Lepisosteus oculatus: one gene and its partner. The protein of the gene in region 1 interacts with the protein of each later gene in a pairwise test. Links are inferred from orthologs where the notes say so. Each region holds a gene or a part of one and is shown on either strand. Other genes may lie near its edges.

What was found.
Region 2: the proteins of kpna5 (region 1) and anp32b interact in binary tests that used the Homo sapiens proteins (3 or more experiments, as listed by UniProt). The two-hybrid records come from large-scale screens. The link is inferred for Lepisosteus oculatus from reciprocal best matches to the Homo sapiens genes KPNA5 and ANP32B.

What each region holds. Positions count from the first base shown.
Region 1 is NC_090697.1:32,627,541-32,635,075, forward strand, and holds the start of kpna5 (importin subunit alpha-6), read left to right. Parts: upstream 1-4,518; 5' UTR 4,519-4,643; coding exon 4,644-4,647; intron 4,648-7,460; coding exon 7,461-7,535. Other genes in the region: zufsp (zinc finger-containing ubiquitin peptidase 1), read right to left, coding at 941-1,039, 1,742-2,300. UniProt on the Homo sapiens protein: Functions in nuclear protein import as an adapter protein for nuclear receptor KPNB1. Binds specifically and directly to substrates containing either a simple or bipartite NLS motif.
Region 2 is NC_090696.1:59,047,747-59,055,335, reverse strand, and holds the start of anp32b (acidic leucine-rich nuclear phosphoprotein 32 family member B), read right to left. Parts: upstream 3,097-7,589; 5' UTR 2,931-3,096; coding exon 2,877-2,930; intron 1-2,876. UniProt on the Homo sapiens protein: Multifunctional protein that is involved in the regulation of many processes including cell proliferation, apoptosis, cell cycle progression or transcription.

The DNA of each region.
Region 1 (7,535 bases):
TAAAGGGATGTTATGTTATACTACTCTTTCAAAGTACTGTGTATTTTGGTCACCACCATGCAAAACATTTTGCTGCTCTGGAATCTGGAAAATGATATCTTAGGAAAGGGCTCCTTCAAGAAACAGCTGAACGAGATCCCTGGATCAATAAATTACTATTAATCATGGTAAATTAGTTGAATGTCCTACTCTTATATGTAGCCATTTTTCTGTTCAGAGAAGAACTGCATATTTTCACTCACACTGAGAAAGACAGCCCAGTGGACTTCAGAAAGAACAGTGAAACACAAACATTGGGACATGAATGGAGACTGATGGGAAGCTCATTTAAAACTAAGAACAGGAGGCACGTCTCTACACAAAGGATTGCGGGAGTATGGAAAAATCTACCTAGCCACAGCATTCTTTGAGAAACTTCTGGCTGAGATCTACTAAAAAACAATCAAACTAATGGACAAATGGCTTCCTCTTCTTTGTGAATTTTACGTTCTAAAACGTTTGAAGATGTAAAACTTCCGGTAACTATTCTATCACTCCAGGAATAACCCAGTGGAGTCAGCTGTACAGACCAGTGGATGAATATAAAATTATTTATAAAACTGTAAATAAAAGAATGCCAATAATTTCTTATAATTTACTGTTAAACTGACCCGCACGCCAGAAACACAATGGATAATCGGGGCAAAAAAAACTACCCAGGAAAGAGTTGCAAACTACAAAAAAGACTAAATTTAAGACCGGGAGTTACATACTAGTTAAACAAAACTGACATTTTAAGGAACGCGCAGGATCCGAGAACCCTGAAGGGGACTGGAAAAGTAGCAGTTGCCTAATAAAAAAGTGAATCATCACCTGGCTTTCCATGGCCAGTACACTGTTTAATGTTCTATAAAGGACATACTAATACAGTATCTTACAATTACGGTTGTGCTAACTATACCTTCAGTGTGTTGTTCTTGTAGGTGGAGCTCAACGTGCTCCTGCAGAATGTAACAATCGGCGCAGACGAGGGAACACATTGGACATGGGTACATCCTCTCTTTATAACAATAAGAATAAAAAAAGATTAAAATACAAAGGACACATAGTTCTGAGCAAAATAGACAACATGCCTAGCTGCTAATGCAAATTGTCTGCAAAAAGGGAAACGGAAAGACCAACTTCTTGCACTTATGCAGTCATAAACTTGAAGAAGATTCCACGCTAAGAACCTACTACAGCTTTGAAGTTCAGAGACACCAAAGTGAACAATACTGTCAATACTGTTCGGTCCTATTGTGCTACAGGTTTAGAGTACTGGATCAAAACTCCACAAAAAGCACTGAATGGGAAGAACTCTGTTAAATATCTACTTATCTATCCGATGCATCCCTAAATGCAATCTGCGTCACACTGAACGTAACTCTGTTAGCTCCTAATTCCAGGAAATGCAATCCAGACGACAAGTGTTTGCAGCAGAGTAACAAACACATACAGTAACAAACCCGGTGCCTGCTGGGAACTTCAAATCTAGAATAATGAATAAATATTCTAGAAAAAATCTAGAAGAAATAGTATTATTTATGGCACTCTTCTTATTCGTGCAAGGCCTAGCTGTTAATAAATAACTTGCAGGGTTTTTTTTTAATTTCACACTTATTTTTCCTTCTTTGATCCATAAGGAAAATGCCAGATACAGATGGTTAGGAAAGGAACTACATGAGAGACAAGCGTTATTACAACGCTGCTATACAATACCTACCTTTCTTGGGTGAATGAATGCGTTTTTGTTTTGCCTTTACTTGTGGTCCTGAGCATTCCTTCGCCACATGCTCCCGTTCGGATGTACATGCTGCGTGACTCACAACTCTTTCTGAAGCAGCCATCCCAGTTTCTCTCGGCGTTTGGGGGACTTTTGTGGATTCTCCTTGATCTTGTATTTTTAATCCATTTTCCTTCCATGTAAAAGAATCCTTTAGCACGTGTGCAGCATCCTGAGACATACCAACTACATGCTTTGAGTTCTGGGGACCTTCAGGATCGGATACTTCCATAGTGTTGTCCGTGTGGCCAGAGGTGGATGCTTCTACCACCTCTATATCCAAACCTGATTTAACCTCTTTCCGAGCGGAGGTCTCTGATAGCTCAGTGTTATTCTCTGAGTGGGCTATATCAATATGAAATAGCAGTTCATCGTAGGTCACACCTGACAGACAGCAGATCGGGCACCTAATTTCATTTTCCAAATGGCTGAGGAGGAGGTGAGTCTTCATGTCAGCTTCAGACAGCCCCTCCTCACCACAGATTTCACAAGCAAACATGATGTCAGCCTTCAATTATATCTGAAATAAAAAATAAAGCTGCGTGATCAGATCTTGCCACAGAGGTACACAATGACAAACATCTGACATCAACCTCTAATAACAAAAATAATTTACAAAAACTATAAATCCGTTAATAAAAAGCAAACAATGTAAGTGTCGTGCATTATTACACAAACCCTGACTGAACAGAACAAAAAGAAAATAAAGATTGAAAGATGACAGTATTTTAAACTTTTATAACATTATACCACGATGGGTAATATTGGTTGGTTTTAAACACTGTAATATATATTCCACAGTTCTGGCATAATTTACAAGTAGTAAGAAATCTGTGGAAAGGACACAATACGTAGAAAAGGTTAGTTCAAAATGAATTGTCATTTGTGCAGCATAAAACACGACTTTCTGTAGGCCTAGGTGTTTGTATGGACATCATTTACATATTCTTGACACTGTAAAAAGCTCTAAAAGGGCAGTAAAATGTTAAATAATACAGTCACAGCTTAGAAATCATATCAAGAGATGTTACAGAACCTTAAAATGGTACAAAGCACAAGATGTCATTTACATTAAGTGTACAGCTTTGATAACCAAATAACAAAAAAGGATATTGCTACATTGGAATCTCTCCAGAGAAGTTAAACTTAACAAATTCCTGGGTTGAAGTAATGATCTGATCTGCACTGACAGGTTTAAAGAGCTTGACTTTTTTTGTTGCTGTTCTGTTGCTGGACGTCTTCCAAATAAAAACACACAGCAGAGGACACCAGTGGAAATGCATCGTGAATTGACATGAGCTGGAGTCCGTATCTTAATAATACTATTCCCAATAGCAATATTATTTTCAGACTTTTATCCAAAGCAACTTACAGATGCTTGACAAAAGGCGTTTAACAGGAAAGGGTTTATGAAATTAAGAAATGGATTACGTATGCAAAATACAAAATACGTACGAGACTCAAGGTGCAGTTGGACCAGAGACTGCGAGGTTTCATGGTCGTTTACATAAGCACACAGTGTATATTTCGGTCCTCATCCAAAAACTAATTGAGTGTTATTCTGTTACATAAATTGTATACGTTTCAGTTAAAAAATATTGACACATGTAATCCGAAATAAGTACTTATCAGTAACTATGAATTAAAGAATAGAAAGTTTCAACAAATTCGCTCCTGTACCCGGACACCACAACATACTGTACATTGAAAATATGATGTTTTTAAAAGAAATCTCTTAAAGCTGAATCAAAACAAAACAAACAAAACAGGATTGTTGTCATTCACCGCGGCGTGAATGACAACAGTCCTGAAGAACCAAGGCCAAGAGCTAACCGGGAATAACAATGCATAACAAAGATAAAAAGAATATAAATAATTAACACTATTCCGCGCTTTTCTCCGGAAAGGTAGAGAAGCATAACAACTTAAAATCATCTTTAAAGACACCGAAAGCTCTGAAAACGGATAAAAACAGGGCAAGAAATGTGCGCTTTAATTTGCCTCGCTTCCTCACCCTTCTTTCTCGTATTTCTACCGCTTTGATCGCTGCCGCTGTACACTCACTATTGCAGCAACAACACTTGCGTTTTCATTTTCCATTCAGCCGACTCCTCTCTTCCGCACGTGAATCCCACCCGCCCGGGCAAGGCCGCGAGCCAATTGAGTGCAAATACGTCACGTCATTGGCCGTGGCCATTTGAGAACATGAAGGTGACGTAATGCGGAATCTCGACGCTTGGGAAGAAATAGACACATTAACCCTCTCTGTGCACTGTTCGTACAAAACACGCTCTGTAGCATGCTTACACTTTTATGTTATGAGTAAACCGTGCTCCGAGAGTATTCCCTGTGTTGGGAATAAGTGCTAAAGTACTCCGTCTACCTCCTGTGTGGTCAGGACGGGACTCTGGCGACTCAATGTCCCTGTGTGTAATGCTGAAGACGGAGGCATCCTAACCCAACAAGTCTATACCTCATACTTCTTTCATACTATTTCAAAATCTCGCATTGAAGTATCCGTAACGCGCGGAGATGCTTTTACTAAATCTCTGATCGGGTCAGGCCTTTAAATTATGTTCTGCTTTTATTATAACACAGTGTCCCTGTGCAATGCAGGCGTTTTCGTCTGTCAGAAAAACCTGCAGCAGTCGTGGATCCTGGATCTTACCGAGCTCCAGCGCTGATTGGCCACAATCTCCTGCTGACGGACATAAGGGGGCTGCTGGGAGTCCTCTGTGCAATTGACAGAGGTGCGCCATATTGCGCTGAACTGTGTTAGCAATCCTGGTGAGGCAGTGCTCGGAAATAGAGCTGCGCAATTACTAAGCACGCAAGGCAGTACATGGGTAAGCGCTTCCTAACCCTTACACGGTCATCGTAGTCACTTGTTTGACAAGCGGAGCATGCCGTGCTCTTTAAGGTACACGGGGGAGGCCAGGCGCCAGGCTGAAGGAGTTTCAGCTGTTTATTTACAGTTAAGGTGGCTTTCGTGGGAGGGGATGTAACTAGAAAATCTGTAGTGCCTGCAGTTCTGAGCTCCGGTGTTAGGTGGCCAGTTGGCGGAGGGTGTAGGCCCCAGAGGCTGGCAACTGGCTCGTAACCAGGCGTTTGGGGTCACTGGAAGTCCTAGACAGGCTGTGGAAGAAGATCTAAAGGTTGGCTGCGGTCTTGTATTTTACCTTGGTTTTGTTTAGTGTCTTGTGATACTCGTGAGCACGCCTGGTGCAGCCCACCTGAAGACACAGGTAACCGTGGTCTTTAAATGTGTTTGCCATTTGTCCTGGAATCTTGCCGACTTGCGTTTTTTTTAAATAAATTGTACGCGGTATGTAATTGTCTCTTTAGGTTAATGTTGAATATCGTAATTTGTACCTATTATGATCTTATCTGGTAACGTCGCCTAGCCTTAGTTCGTACCTGTGATGGGTCTGGTTTGAAGTGTATCGTAAATGTACAGTGACCGTATGAACAAATAGTTGATGGGCGATGACGGGTCAGGCAGTGATGTTTTTCGAATAAAATAATTGGCATTGCTCTAAGCGTAGGTTCGGGTTTGTGTTCTCCGCCGAGTTAACGTTATTTGGCTGACAGTTTTGGTCCATTTGTACCCATTTATATAGCTGGGCATGGGCAGGAAACAGTTCGAGTTAATGATCAGTGCGCAACATCGGTGCCTCTCCCGGAATTTGAACCCCTCAAACTACTAATAACGCTGTTTCACATTTCTACCCTTTCCAGTTCTTCTACCCAACAGTTCTCCTGTTGTTGACTGACGACACCCCTGTCATAAATTCTGCAAATGTCGCTAGCTGTTGCTGAAGGTCACTTAAGTTTAAAATGTCACTATTTTTGGTGCATTAAAGCTGTCACTTAATATTTTCACTTTGTCTATGATCTACGCTTGTAATATCTAGACTGCATTCTTCGAAGCTGAAATGGCTTTATGTATTTCAGTCAACTTGGGTATACTTTGAGTAAAATGGGGGGGAAATTACCGGTAGTGGTTTCCCAAGGTAAAAGAAAGTGAAGGTCCCAGAGTCGCTTGTGTACCAACTTGTTAAAGAATGTTCAACGCCCCCCCCCACACACACACACACCAAAAAAAACGAATGAAAGGTCTAAAAGGGAATCTTTTTTGTGGAGACTGAAATGGGATATCACTGTATTACTGCAATATGAATTGGTAACAATTCCACCATAGAGGTCTTCCCTGTAGTTTTGGTTTTTACACACATTTTACAAACGGATGTACATAGCGTTCATTGATGCCAGAATTTCAGCAAGCTTTGGCAGAGTCTTGTGTATACATGGTCTAATGCAGACTCAGTCACTGGTGGCACGTCTCTGCCACCTTCCCAGAAAACCAGCAGCGTGTCCTTTTTCGTTTGTGTTGATGCTTGCTGCATATTGTCTCTTTCATTTTCCCTGTGGCTCCCTCCTGTTTTTTTTTAACTATCTGGTGAGAAGCCATGACTCCTAATTGTTACAAGTGAGGAAGTCGTTTGTTTCTTCGCTTTCGTGATCTGTGATAACGTCAGATGTGTTGGATCAGTTTGAGTCGGGTGAATCATGTTTTGGTTTTGTAACTTTTACTTTTTACAGGATGGGGTAGTTAGTCCCACCTCGAAGTGCGATGGAGGGGCTGCCTCCTTAAAGCGTTCGACCTAAATTGATTTCTGTTAGGGTCGTCTCTCTTAGCCTTTGAGGATCCCTCCTCTGTCCACAAGGCAGTGGATCCCTGTTGGTCCGTGGGCCCTTATTCTGTATTTTTGGGCCACACTGCTGTTATGGTGGGCTCCCCCATCCGCCCCATGGGGGACACACTCTCTAGGGATTACAGGGTCCTCAAAAGATGGATAAACGATGTTGAAGACCTCAGAAAGCTGAGAGTGAGAGGATGGCGAAGACTGGTATGGGGCCGAGATGCGTGGAGGAGGCCAGGGCTCTACAAGGGCCGTAGCGCCATGCGGCTAGTTAGTTAGAGTCATGTGTTACAGTGGAAAGATGAATGGTGGTAAAGACAGTAATGATACATCTCAAACTTTCTCTTATTAATGTATGGGAAATTCGTTAAATTACCTTTTATTTCTGCTGTGTATGTACACTTGATTTACTTGTTACGTGCCCTGGGTGCTATCTGTGTGGAGCTTTGTATGGGTTTCCTCCAGGCACTCTGGTTTTCTCCCACAGTCCAAAGACACTGGTAGGTTAATTGGCTTCTGGGAAAGACTGGTCCTGGTGTGCGTGTGTGCGTGCGTGTCCCGTGATGAACTAGAGTCCCACCCGGGGTGTTCCCCGCCTTGCGCCCATTGCTTCCCGGGATAGACTCCACCTCCCCTGTCTCCCTGAATTGGGAGAAGTGCTTAGTAAGTGTAGGGATGTGTTGTATGTGACTGAAAGAAAGAAGTGAGGTCTATTATGAGGTTTACAAGTCTAATGCTGGTCATCTGCACCTCAATCCCTTTTTCCCCCCCATGAACTTAAATATTCATTACATGTGATTTCTTCAGCCAGGGGGCTTTCCAGGAGTGAACCCCCATGTGAAATGAGGGGAAAGGTGTATTGAAGTGCACAAAGACACTGGGACGCGTCCACTAAAATTTCACCGTGAACTTTTTTTATTCTCTCCTCCTGAGTCTATTCTCTGTATTCAAACCAGACGCCATGGCAAGCCCCGTGAAAGACAACTGCCGAATGAAGAGTTACAAGAACAAAGCGCTGAATCCGCAGGAAA
Region 2 (7,589 bases), on another chromosome or scaffold:
TTCTTTGGTGTACTGTTCTACTTCACATCTTCTAAATGTTGGGCAAAAATGCCCCTAATGTCCTCATACCAATTAATGCAATATAATTTTTAAAAGAATCTAATACCTTCATTAATGAGAATTACACATGTAAAGAATAACAGTGATTTATAAGAACTGTGCATTTAACCCATCTGTCCTTGATTGGCAAGTAGCTCATTGATCTAAGGATCTCATCCAGCCATTTCCTTGAAAGATGCAATGGTATCGGCTTTAAAATTGCTGCAGAGCTTGTTCCAGACTCCTGCAACTCTCTGTGTAATGAAGTGCATCTATTTCCCAGTTTTTAATTAACTTCCCCTAAGTTTCTTTTGGACAGTCAGTCTTGAAGAAGTCCAGAGAGTTAACTGACTAAATCACTTTAAACATACAACAAATTGACTTATTTTGAGGCACACATTCAGTCATTTAGTCAAACTTGCAAGTTAGATGAAGTTCTTTACATCTCCTGTCTGAAGGATGTTCACTGGGCATAAAATTGATCCATAGTTTTACCTACCAATAGTAGTCATTAAATCTAAAATGCCAATAGATCAACTTACCTGCTCATTTATAGCACAAAGTGACCACACCCTGAATTTTAAGACCCCTAAAAAAACTGAGATTTGTCGCTAAAGAAACAAGCTACACTAAGCAAAAACACATTATTGTTCTAGCTCCATGTATTCTTTTTAACCCCCCATCCCCAGTTTTCTTAGGTTTAAAGGTGGTACAAAGTAATGTATATAACACATTCAATACCCAAATTAAGCGAAATGTTATCCAGTTTTAATAATGCTTTTGAAATTTCAGGTGTTGTAACTTATATGCAACCAGTCCCAGAGTTCAATCAGCTTGTTGAGAGCTCTCACAATTACAAATGTGTACCACATCCCTTTCATGAAAACTGTAGTCGTCAGTGCAGAAATGCACGAATGATTGTAACCAAAGGGACTCTTTTTATACTAGCACAAATCTGGAAAATAAGGGGAAAGGAGATTTGTTATTTAACGAATTTGTTGGAACAAACTAAGGTTTTCGGTGTACAATGAGAACATATTCGACGTGAGTGTATAAATATTCTAAACGGTGAGTTCGCCTTGTTGAGTGAACTTTTCTAGACAAAAGCACGTAGAAACTTAACGTGGTAATACCAATAAAAAGCGTTCTTGTTTACTGTGGAAAGGCAAACGAGGTGAATTACGCATAATAATCCTTGGCCTACTGAGTGCATGCGTTCGTGCTCTTCACCGTGTGCCTGTGCTGCAGTGACTGGAGGCAATGATTTGTCTTCCCAGCCATTGCCCTTTTAAGAGCCAGAGCGCTGTTGTCGGGGTTGCAGAGAGAATCCGTCAGCCCGCCATCAAACATCAGCATCGCTGAGGATTGACCGCCTCGTCTATATTTTTCAATAAAAAACATCAAAACGACTTTTTTATCGCCTCCGAACAAAAACATCCGAATAATAATAAACGTGACTGAGCAGAAATATCGTATCTTGGTGCGAGTGCGAATGACGAAGGAGTCGTTTTGAACGGAAATTAGGAGGACAAAGATGGAGAAAGTTCCTTTCTCCGAGGGCTTCAAAGACGGCAGGGCGACAACATGGCGATTCCCGAGCGACTGTACTCCGAGCTTTTCCGAGCAGTGGGGAAAAGAAGCGGAATAACTTTTCTGCATTGATTTAAAACACCCTTTTCACCTGCAAAGTTAGATTGAACACTTCATAAAACCAAAAGATACGCTCGTATTAAAACTTCACCTTTAACATTTTTGAAACGTGTTATTCGTCTTGCATGTGTTGGTTGAAGCGTGGGTTTTTTTTGCCACCTGGGTGCTGTACTTGCTAGTCTTGTAACTGAATATTCCGAGGCTGCAGTATATTTTGCCGTGAAATCAAAGTATTTTGCTTTAAATCAAGAAAAACAACATTAATCTCGGATTAAACATTACCGGATTTGTATTTTTAATGGGTAGTAATATGGCGGGAACTGTGCACTACTTTTACATAAATCGTTAACGCTTTATGGAGGTCTTGTGTAAAGAAATGGTATTTTTCAGTAGGTTATTGTGGAAGAATGTAACCTAAATACCGTTTTTTTCTTTAAAATGTGTAACATGTAATTATTGCTGGAAAGATTTAACCTCGAAGGAAAATAAAAACGGTTTGCAACTTTGGGTTCTCGGCTTGAAACAAACGTGTATTTAGATTATTTGGTGGGGGGAGTGTGATTTAAGTATTTTTTTTCTACGATTTTGGTTCTTTTGGGGCGTTGAAAGCAAACACGTTAAACCAACCCCGGCTGCTTCTCAATTTAGGATTATGAATAACCCTGCACCGTACTTCTTTAGAGCAGACTACTTATTTCAGCGCTACACCAGCGAGGTTTATTTAAAAAACTGCTTTGTAATAAAGGGCGCCCCATTTCATGCTGTTACAAATATGGCTACCGAGCCTTCTGTAAAAATAAACCTTTAACAAAAAAAAAAACTAATAAATCAATTTTATCTATGCATCGATAAAAAAGAAGCAGCCCTCCCGCTATACGGCCAAGTAAAAGTTACCCTTTATCACACCAGCGAGGGAGCAACACGGAGACAAGAGGCTCCGAAACGGTTAAAGGCAACGACTGCAACAATAATACTAAATACTGTACAACCAAGCCTCCGAAACTATTTGGTTATGTAGCTCTGTAAGATTTAACCACCTCGATAAAGCCTAATACGGAAACTTGAGCAGTAATTTATCAGTTATTAAATAAAAATAAAAAACTAAACCCATGTGGTCACCATTACACAGGTCATCACCAGGAAAGCAGAAAAAGTAACAAACTAAGGTTTGAAAAAGCAGCTCTTACATCAGATGGGGTCCTGTTCCTCAGCTCTAAGTGGATCCTCTTTTTCATGTCCATCTTCCCCTTTAAAAGTTTTTTTTCCTCTTGGGTTTTTAAGGATTTTTGATTCAGTCCAAAACGCAGAGAGATGCCTTAATGGAGGGAGAATATGGGACTGTATAATGAAGTGAGCCAAACGCCAAGTTACTCAGGGAGAGGAGAAACCATGGAGGGAAATGGGACTGAAACACATATATACTCAATACTGCCGCCGCCGGCCAGAGACGCCCATTGCAGTTAAACAGGCAATGCAGAGTCACTGACTGACCTGTTGTCATACTCCCGAACATGACGTTGCCAAAGGCATTTCATTCATTATTGTAGTTTTCTTACCAGGGACAATTTCTCTCTTTTGAATTAAGGTAAAACGCATAGCTATGAGTGACTGTGCACTCTTACACTATGTAATTGTGTGTACAAATAAAATCATTTCAGATACGATTTGCTTTCGTGTTTAAATCGTGCTGCGTGAAATTGTATTATTACTTATTTTGTATTTCCGTTATAAGTAATAAACTGTAGCAGTGTAGGTTGTTTTATCAACAGGTTTACTATACTGTGATTTCCATTAATGATGGCGACAAGGTTTGTGTAGTGTAGCATACTAATATCACCCAAACATTAATCCAGTTGTTTAGAGATAGATGGCCTGGTACAAAATTATTATATAATTCTTAAAAAGCCTACCTTATTTTCTTAAGGCCGTTGACATGCTTTAAGTTGTTTAATAAAAATGTACAATAAACGTTGAGGGGAATAACATTTATTTTTTATAAGTACATCAAAAAATTGTATTGTCTCCATAGCAATGGCCAAAGGAACAAATGTAAAATTATTTTTTAGTAATGCAAGGATGAATTTCTGAGAGAAAGTACTTTTCAGAGGACACGGAAAGGAGAGAACAGGGAGTTGTGTTGTTAAATAACCTCAAAAATGTGGTAGACCTTGTTAAAAATTGCATTTGTTATTATTATTATTATTATTATTATTATTATTATTATTATTATTATTATTATTATTATAATCATTATCATCAAAGATAAATAATAGCCTTATTATACAAGTAATCTGGAGCTGTATTTCTGAGTGGTCTGTTAATTCCAAACTATGATCTTTACAAAAGGTGCTGTGTTGCTTTTAACCCTTTCAGAGCCTGGCTGTACTGAATAGGCCCCTTGTACAATGTGTCAGCTATTCATCATTCACAGCCATGAAGAAAAAATATGGGCTCTGTTTGTTTTACCACTTTATCCTTAAAAACTTGACAGAGAATGCGTATATACTGGCTATATACTTGGGAGCTCGGTGCTTTCACAGAAAAAATAAAGTGAACGTTTTTTTAGATTTGGGCTTTGAATACTACATTATGCCAAGCCATATTGCTACAATTTCACATTGCGCAGTTTCACACAAATAAGTATTCACATTCTGTCTCTGCAATCAGTTTGCTCATTAGAACCTTTCACTCAGCAGTGTGGAGGAACGATTAGGGTTCAGGACCTCTAATTAGAAAGCTGTGGATTCAAATCCTAGGTGTAGCGTTGCTGTTGTAATCCTGAGTGAGGTGCGTCACTCAAGGTTACTCCAGAAAAATGCCCAGCTGTATAAATGGGTACTCTACAGGTTTTCACTGTAATCAAGAGCTTGTTTCTTTCGTTCATTTATCTGGTTAAATAAAGGTGTGTTTTCTGCTTCTTAGTAGAATGAAGGGTCTCTGATTAAATCAATAAACTGATGAATATTCAGTACATTTAGAAGAGGTATCTTATTTTTAATTTATATTGAAACATTTGTCCAGATAAGATAATTTAGAACAAATTCTAATTTGCACGGCCTGCTTGAAGACATTGTTAAACTCTGATCTACTCCAAGCAACTCTTGGTGTCATTTATAAGTTCATCACATGCCCCTCAAAAGATAAATTGTTTTACTCTGAGGTTTGTTAGGGGTTCATTTTTTCAACTAACAGCCTATTTGTTTTTATTTTTTGGTTTGCTGCTCTACAGATTGCACTAATGTATGAGCACAGAAAATAACAGAGTGGAGCTTCTGGTAATTTAAGAGCCATGACAAATTATATGATAGAGAGGTCATTATTAAGGGAAATGCAACATGCAATGTGATTTGGAACGTTCTGCTCTCCACATATTGTCTAAACCCAAAATGTCTCTGGAAAAAAAACAAATAGAAAAAAACAGACGTCCTTTTGGAATCCCTAACAACTCGTATCATCTTTGTTGTTGTCCAATTGCGTAATATCTGTGAGGCTTTACTTATGTCATCTTCTGATATAAGGACCTGTACATTGCCCTTGTTGCCTGCAACTGTTAAATACCTGGCCCCTAGACATCATAAGAACATGATCAATTCTAGGACATGAGCATGAGCAGATCCTTCTGGCTGGAAGAAGCTCACTTTCAGTTCAGATATGTTGCAGAAATCCTGTGTCACACAGCCAGGCTACCACTGCCCATCATATTTTTGAAATGTAGGTCCTCTTGTCTTCATATGCTGGCCTCCCTGGCCCAGCAGTGGTCCCCCAGGTAAAGTCTGGGAAACCAAACTTTTGGATACGGATTTACTTGAAGCTTTCTATACTCGAATATGTGTGTGCAGCTTTTAAGAGTCAGGGATGTACTTTGCCTCCCTGAGCTGTCATTTAGCTTTATCACATTCGACTCCCCTCTCTTTCACTGTGAAATACACAAATGTTTTGACAGGTAAAATTTATTTTTCCAAAGCAAAAGAATCATTTTGATATGTTTTGCATGATCATTGCAAGGCTACTGAGGCCCTGCAGTTTTATAGATTATCCATACTGTATGTAGTTCATCCTGAACCATCAAAGGTGTTTTGTTTTCCTTTGAGACCTGGCAGAGAAATGCTCTCCCCTCTGAAATAAGAAAGCCTTCTTGGCTGAATGTTATATTCACTTCACACAGAATAAGGAGCAACATTTGAAAGAGGCGCACTGTCACAACTGCTGAATGTTCTTGTATGACAGGACAAATCTCCAACATGTCAATCGAACCACAAAACGAAAACACCCTGTGGAAGAAAAAACAATAAAGCATACAATCGGTACACATTTTTCATTAAATAAGGACTATTTCTGATGTTTGGATTGTTTTTCAGATGGAAAGTGATATTATTTTGTTTTGACAGAAACATTTTGCCTCAAATCCTTCCTCCACAGGAAAAATGTAGGTACCTTATTTTTAAGAAAGTTATCAGGTTGATTTTGTATGGAATGATACCTTTGTTTAACATTCATACCATGTTCTTAACATTTTTTACATGTTCTTTACCATTTGAATCTTTATTATTTTGTTAATATGGCTGGATCACATACAGTACTCACTTCAGTAACAGTGTATTTGTATGCTGATTTACAACATTAAACGTGTTACATATAAATCTGTGTAAAAAAATAAGAAAAGATGAATTCCATGTGAAACACAGACAAGAGAAACAATGTTTCAGCTGTACAGCCTTCATCATACATGAAGAAGGTTCTACGTCAGAAAAATGGTGTTTCTCCCTTCTGTTTTTCAGTATGGAATTAACCTTTACTTGTTCCGTTACAGCCTACATATGCTGACGCAGCTCTCCACTTGAACACATACACGGGTTATGTAACCTTATACTGTATATATACAGTATAGATAAAAGTTTTGCCATAGTTACAGAAAAAAAACATGTGAAGGTACAGCTGTTCAGACCATGGGTTACAGATGTTATATCTCCAAGGAATGTAGCAATAATTAGAGCAGATCCAGCTTTCGATAACACCAAGCCTTGTTTTCATTTACAGTTAAAATACCTCCAATATTATTAATTCTTATTCATGCTATAATGCTATAATCTAAATTCATACAATATGCACATTTTGTTTTCTTTTTCAGATGTTCTTATCTCAAGGGATGTGTACAGATAAAATCCTAATTTAAATGTTGATTTTTGCATGTCTTCTGAATCTGGACCTCATTCTACCCTGAGACAAAATTAGTGACTGGCTGAGAGGTGTTACTAATATCATTGTGTAATTTTACAAGATACGAAAACCATTACGATGACATAAAAGTGGAGCACAGGAATTTCCACCAGGGTTTCAGATTGAGAAATTAATTAGCTGATTGATGGAACTCCTGCTGTCTTAGGCTTCTCACAATCAGATCTTCACAATTGTGAATGCTAATGCTTTTCTCTAGATTAAAATGCCATATAGGGTCAAATAATTCTTTTACCAGCCCACAAAGAGAACAGCTCCAACAGTTACTCTGGTTCAACCTGAGAAACCTTTATCACCGGGCCTCAGGTAGCATTGTGCAGGGAATCTGGAAATGTCCATTTCAAGCACTTCCAGGAAAGCAGAGCTCAGACTCTCAACCATTTTTCAACCATTCAACCAGTCACAGCTTTTCAACACAATACTTTTGGCTGCTTTCCATCAGTTAGAGTCTCTGGCAACCAGGAAGGTGCCGTGAAATGACACCTTTGGAGCTTGTGGATGGCAGATGGGTTGAACACTTCTTTCGTTCCATAAGTATGCTTATTATTCGTAAGGAAATCTCCACAGTTAATTGGGGACTCCCAACGTGTAGCTTCTTTTGTGCAGCTAGCAAATGTTCTTTAGATAGCCCTTAAACAGTCTCTTCTGGGATGAGATTTTCACTT